Linked DNA regions of Saccharomyces cerevisiae S288C. The gene in region 1 interacts genetically with each later gene. Each region holds a gene or a part of one and is shown on either strand. Other genes may lie near its edges.

What was found.
Region 2: mutations in MAK32 (region 1) and HPA3 impair growth when combined (synthetic growth defect), as found in Saccharomyces cerevisiae (one study listed by BioGRID).

Annotation. Positions count from the first base shown.
Region 1 is NC_001135.5:150,626-154,527, forward strand, and holds MAK32 (Mak32p), read left to right. Parts: upstream 1-2,211; coding exon 2,212-3,303; downstream 3,304-3,902. Other genes in the region: PET18 (Pet18p), read right to left, coding at 3,387-3,902. UniProt on the Saccharomyces cerevisiae protein: Necessary for the structural stability of L-A double-stranded RNA-containing particles. Necessary for growth at 37 degrees Celsius as well as for maintenance of the killer plasmid.
Region 2 is NC_001137.3:24,736-28,023, reverse strand, and holds HPA3 (D-amino-acid N-acetyltransferase), read right to left. Parts: upstream 1,304-3,288; coding exon 818-1,303; downstream 1-817. Other genes in the region: SIT1 (siderophore transporter), read right to left, coding at 1-367; YEL067C (uncharacterized protein), read left to right, coding at 1,248-1,835; YEL068C (uncharacterized protein), read left to right, coding at 2,046-2,378. UniProt on the Saccharomyces cerevisiae protein: N-acetyltransferase that acts on a wide range of D-amino acids. Catalyzes the N-acetylation through an ordered bi-bi mechanism, in which acetyl-CoA is the first substrate to be bound and CoA is the last product to be liberated.

The DNA.
Region 1 (3,902 bases):
TTTGAAATTAAAACATTTTTAGAGGAAAATTGTGATCACAGAATTTCACATTCCCAGTTACTTTAATAATATTCATAGTTAGAGATGAAGAGGTACTATTAATATGAAGGTTAAGTATGAATCTTCTCATGCTTCTATAAGCGAGGGATATAAAACATCGCCAACTGTTTCATCTTATTTATTATCAATATTATGTGTGTTTGGAGCTTACTATACAGTTAATGTGATAATTAATATAACTCTTGTATAACTACCATATCAATGTTCAATTAATAGATCTTAAATCGGTTTCATTACTACCTGAACTGCATGTATGAAATTTCCTTCCACATTAGGCACATTCACATGTAATACGAGATGTACATCTATATGTGATATTAGCATTTACACAGCAATCCTATATCACTATTAATGGCCACTTGTTCCAAAAAGTATATATTATGAAGCGTATTATTATTTTATACTCAGATAGCTGGTGCGATACGTTCGCAGATTTTGAGCGCAATGCAATGAGTATGACGGAAAGGTTCACTCATAATTTCAATAACTCAAGTTGTTTGAATTTAAAATACATTCCCCGTTAGATAAGCTATAAACATTGTTACTTGCGCTTGCGGCACATGTAATGTAGTTTCTTTCTTTTTCCAAGAAAAAAGAAAGCCCTGTAGGGGGCTCGAACCCCTAACCTTATGATTAAGAGTCATACGCGCTACCGATTGCGCCAACAAGGCTCTTTAATTATGAAAAATTACGTTTAATAAGTGACTTAAAAATATAAATACTGTTACTAAAATGTGAACTAAAACCTCAATATTATTTTCTGATCACTTGATGAATAGCTGGTAATTGTTGGATTCCATTGTTGGTAAAGGCTATAATTTTACGTATATAGAATTGTTGGAATAAAAATCCACTATCGTCTATCAACTATAGTTATATTATCAATATATTATCATATACGGTGTTAAGATGATGACATAAGTTATGAGAAGCTGTCATCGAAGTTAGAGGAAGCTGAAGTGCAAGGATTGATAATGTAATAGGATAATGAAACATATAAAACGGAATGAGGAATAATCGTAATATTAGTATGTAGAAATATAGATTCCATTTTGAGGATTCCTATATCCTCGAGGAGAACTTCTAGTATATTCTGTATACATAATATTACTGCCTTTATCAATAATGGAATCCCAACAACTATCTGAAAATTCACGTGATTCTCATGTGAGTACATCAGAAAACAACCACCTAACAACCGTGTTTGAATGTTGATCTGAAAACAAAAATTAATCTCTCGTACTTATTATGGATATTGTATTTTCTCAAAATTCCAAATGATTTTCTTGTTAGATGGTATTCACGGTCATCGGAATCTCAGTTCAATATCACCAATTTGCTTATAAGGTTTATGCAAGATAACATGTTTGGTCTTGTTCCCAAGTATAACTTAAGAAAAAAAAATTACAATCCAAGAAAGGTAATACAGAATTCATAGCAATAATGGGGTCCATTTTCAATAGATAATGTACCTGGAAGAAAAGGGCTGACTAGGAAACAAAAAGAAAAACAAAACTATGATACTCCATCAAACATAGGGAAATTTACTCGAATATGAAAAGTACAAATCTGTCAAAAGCACATCGTATATTGTCTTGGTTCCGCTTTTATTCAGAAGAATTACTGAAATGAAGAGGAATGACGTAATAAACAAACAACGATTCTGATATCAGAAAGACATCTTGAATATTCCTATGTAGTAATTAACTATCCCAGTACTTACAAACATAACTTGACGATGCACGCTACGATTTTTGTGTGTTTAAACTTTTGTTGGTTGGGACTCAAGAAGATCTTCTCTGAGATAATTGTAATTAAATGTACTTTAGGAGTGTTCATGTATAATTTGCCTCTGCAAAAACTTAATAATGTATTTTAAAACTTGCATGTTGCTCTGTGAATCTGAATGTATGATAATGCTACGATTACTCTAGGGAACTTCCTTTTTACATTTAAAATTTCCGAGATCCTCAGCTGACAAATAAATGTCATATCAAGACAATAAACGGTAGTGCTAAAGTAATTGCATATTAAACAGGCGCGACTAAAGCTTTCATCCCTTCTATTATTGCATAACCTGGCTATACATGAAAACACTTCTCACATTTGATTTAAGAAGTTTACTGTTCTAAGAAAATAAAGAACGTGATAATGATGAATGAAGAGGATTCTACAGAAACGAAAAGCCTAGTCATAACTAATGGCATGTTTATCATAGACGACATCGAGCGTAGTAAATATAATATTCACTATAAGAATGTCCCAGGAGGCGGAGGGACTTTTGCCATTTTGGGTGCATGCATAATATCTTCCGGCAATGTCACATCCAAAGGTTTGAAGTGGATAGTGGACAGAGGCTCTGACTTTCCAAAGGAAGTTATAAGGGAAATAGACTCATGGGGTACTGATGTGAGGTTTCGAGATGACTTTAGCAGATTAACTACCAAAGGGTTGAATTATTACGAGGGAAGTGATGATTTGAGAAAGTTCAAGTTTTTGACGCCGAAGAAGCAGATTAACGTCGATGACTGGATTTCCACATTTGGGCAGAAGATAATTGATGAAATGCATGCGTTTCATTTGCTATGTTCTGGGTCTAGATGCTTAGACATAATAAACGATCTGCTACGGGTGAAAAGTTCAAAGGGCACAAAACCAATCGTGATTTGGGAGCCATTCCCAGATCTTTGCGACTTTGATCATCAAAATGACATTAAAAGTGTAATGCAGAGGAACGATGTTACGGTAATATTATCTCCAAATGCCGAAGAATCAAGTCGCTTATTTGGTTTAAGTAGCAAGGAACCGACTAGTTTGGAAGAATGTCTAGCATTAGCGCATCGTTTCGATGATTTCATGGATGAAAACAATATGTGTATTCTACGATGCGGTGCCCTCGGAAGCATATCGGTAAGTGAGAAGTTTAAGAACGGACGAACCTATGACCATTTCCCCGCCTACCATTTCAAAACTCAGTCTAAAGTACTAGATCCTACTGGCGGGGGAAACTCGTTCCTTGGCGGCTTTGCAGTTTCTTATGCCCTAACGAAAAGCTTAGATATTGCTAGTATATGTGGGAACATCGCTGCAGGCGCAATAATTGAACAATTCGGAATACCGAGGTACGATCCAATTGCTAAAACCTGGAACGGAATCACATTCTTGGATAGACTGAAATTTTACCTTTCACAGTCCGGTCTTCAATATAATATAAACGATCTTTACAAAAGTCTAACACGATGATCATATCAGCTTGTTCATTGCTCTTATTTTTCTGCAAAAATATACATATATATATATAAGTAAGTGTTATATACTACTTGAGATTAGGCGTTGTAACAAGATTCAAAAAATTCGAACTCGAACTGTGAAACCTTCACAAATATGCTTTCCACTTCTTCGACGGGAAACTTGTCAACTTCAGCCTTTAGAAATTCACACCAAGTTTGAAAATGCTCACCATCATGTAAATCAATCCATTTTTGATATTTCCAATGCAACCCTGGGGCTCTAGGAGTATCACGAGCCCATCTCCAATAGAGTTCCTCAGCAACCCATAAGCTGGTTACTAAGGATGGCCATGTAATTGAGGCGTCCTTTCTCAGCTCATCTAAGAAATTAATATACGCATCAACGCCGGGGATCGCTTTATTGTCAAAATTATCTCTTTCTTCCTTGGTGAGGGATGGTGCCAATAATTCTAAGCAGTCATGAAAGTATGAGTTTTCATCATTAGAAAAAAATCCAATCTTTTTGGCTAAGGTTATTAAAGCGTGAGTAGTTGGTGCTAAAGAAGTCGTCTTACATATCAACCTTAAGCTAGTTTCAAAAAATTGCAGATC
Region 2 (3,288 bases), on another chromosome or scaffold:
GGCCTACAGCCGCAATAACCGTCTTAATACAGTTGACGGTCGATAGCAGCGAGTGCTGGGAGTACGACGAAGTCGCGTACGCCTGGAAAGTGTAACGGATATTACCATCTAATCCGTAAGCATAGGCAATGAGGAAAAGTGAGAAGAATAATGCGACACGGTAGATCGGGCGGTTGTACATTTCTGCGTAAATCTCGATGTTATGCACACCTGGATCTATCAATTCAATGTAAGAAGGTGCTGGAGAAGATGTGGTTAGCGTTGGCTTGACATCGACCTTGGCTCCTACTTCCTTTTCCAGCATCTCGGGAACGACAACCTCTTCAAATTCCTCGGGGAGGGTATGATTAGCAATACCAGGGTCCATTATGGAAAAATTTTCGTACTGGGTCTTTAACAGTTCTTTTACAAAGCACTACGATGTTCTAGCCTCATCGGTGATGGACGGTGTCCATTGCTTATATAGTATCTGCAAATCATCGCATCACAAAAGTAAATTAAAGGATCACGGATGAGCACTACTAATTATGGCAAAAGACGAACCAGATTGCACCCTCAAATGTGTTCTTTACGGCACATTGTAAACGATGAACTTCGGGGTCTTCCCAGCAGATAAGTTTCTTAAAATGCACCTGGATTAAGCTGCAAGTCATTCTGTGCCTGCGCCGTACGGCGCTTGCGATTAAATCGGAGAACAAACTATGAAAAGCCAATAAGAAACTATTTCACTGGGAAAAAGTGGGAAAAAAGCTTCGCAAGTGAGCCTATAGAAGCTAGAGTTATCTCTATACACAGTAGTCTACATTACACAGCGGTTTCAGTATCCGTTTCTCTTGTAAAGAACCTTATCTGTCTTGTAAGCCACTTTGGTGTACAGCAACTGTGCGCGGTGATTGTAATGGTCTGTAACCCAGTACACTGCAGGCGTACCGAGCTCATCGGCACGGCTGTATACAAATTCTATGAGCTTTCTACCTACGCCTTTGACTCTTGCGCGTTCAGTGACATATAAGTCATTCATGTAGACAACTTCTTCGACATGCCACGACGTCAAATGGTTCAGGTAGTGTGCAAAGCCAATTGCATCGCCGGTCTCGGTGTCAAAGGCTAGAGCACCCCATAGTTTGACCGTAGGGTCTATAAACCTTGCGAAGGTAGTGGTGGCTACTTCCGGAGGCATAACCGTTTTTTGGAAACCCTGATACTCCTTCCACAGTTTGTTCCAGGCTTCCTCATCTTTTGGCTCGATGGCCTTCACCACAATTCGATCGTTAACCATTTTTTCCGGTTCTTCGTTTGACATGCCTACGTTCTTCGTGCTTGCAAAAGGTGGAGATGGGTCTGGGGTCTTTTTCATTAGTCTGCACTCATCTATTTTATATGCCCGTTTTCCGCTTTTAAATATCTTGTCGCAACACTCTCCAGTATACTGTTCGCGAAGGTTTCCGCCTGATAACGATTTAATAACCGGATTGGGAAATATACGATGCGGTCAATTGGTGAAAAAGGCCTTACGCAGAGTATGCAATGTACCGCCTGATCATCAGCTGATCGCTTCAGTGCGATCGATTGGATATGCTAGAGTAGCATTCGTGTTTTGTACGTGTACGTCTGAATGTCGGGATAATTTGCAGAGTGTGACAAGAACTTCAGGCCATCAAACAACAATTAGTCAACCATGCACAGATATACAGTCAACACGGAAGTGCTCGACCATTTTTGTCTCTGCTGTTATGCAAACGGGAACTATAACTTTCTTCTGGACGTTCCATTTCCCCATCCCCTTACAACGCATAGTAAACCAAAAGCAGCCACCGCCTCAATCCTACGTTTAATACAAAAGTGAAGAACTACAATGGTTTAATTCTACTAGACGGCATGCTAACCTGAAAAACTCAAGCATTTTTATCTTTTCAGTCGGTCGTAGCTCTCCAACGGTTGTTTTTTCACAGTATATACTTTTTCATATTATCAGGCGAAAGATACGAGAAAGCCAAAATCAGGCACATTGAAAGGATAAAGCCAAAATCAGGTATACTGAAAGGATGAAAATTTTGGCACTAGCCGTCGCCTTTCAAGGCTTGGCATTGGTATGCTGTACGGATACAACAGACAATTATAACAATTTTACGCATAATACATCGACATTTTACCGCATAGCGGATTATGATAAGAGATTTTGGAGCGTAAAACTACCACCAGTGAATTGGACTACTTGCGGTAATGAAGATCATCCATGGATTACTATCCACTACGACGAGATTGATAAACTCGTTGACGATAAACTGGCAAGTTGGGACAAAGGACCTGTTCCCGATCGTGAAGAATTTAGGAACTCCATCCTTAGACAAGCGAGATGCGACCGCCCACATTACTAGCCATCAATTCTTAATCATTGTAAGCAAGAACTGTCCACTCTAACATTTAGTAGGCTCTCAAACATATGTTAACATAGCACCACTAATTGCACTTCTGATTTAATTGAAGAAAACGGCGTTAAGTGTTTCAAAAATATCAGGTCAGTTAAGAGAAAAAAAAGAAAAATGGGCCGGCAGTCCTTATTTATTTACTTCCAATTTGAATAACTATATAATTTTAATTAGATCAATTCTCTCCCTTTTTTTTTCAAGTTACAGTACTGAAGTGGTGGAAAGGACTTCTGGGTGTGAGTCCTGCAAATGTCATAATACTGTTACAATTTGCTCTTAATTATACTCCAAGAGATTTAAAGCGCAAGATGAAAATGCTCAAGATCAATGTTTTTCAACCTGAGCAGATGAACTAAGGCTCGCTGCTACGTTGTCAGGTATTATTTCTCCTTCTTTTTTCTTATTTCCCTGCAACGTTTGGGAAGAAAACGAATAATTTCAAACCACAGCCAAAAGGATAAAGTTCTACGTAAGAAAAAGTGGTTATTTACTACAATTTCAACCACGGAGCGACCATTTTATCAGCGGCTTTCCTGCGCCGTTGATATCTTCGAACAACTGGAGGGATGTCAAACAATCACACTCTCACATACCTTAATCAAAACTTCGATTCAATATTGGCATCTGCCTCACTGCAGTGTCGGAAATCTATATTAGGATGTAATAATTCTTATGCTGTGAAAGATCAAGTTCTGTAAGGACATATCATGCCAGATACTAGAAGCTATTTCCCCTTTCATGACTGTGACAAGCCCCATGCGAAGATTATTTCAAAATGTAATGCCTTAGGCCAGTATGCGTGGCCTCAAGTGAAATATTCTGCAAAAGCACTATCCTCAATAGAGCATAATTGAAACAC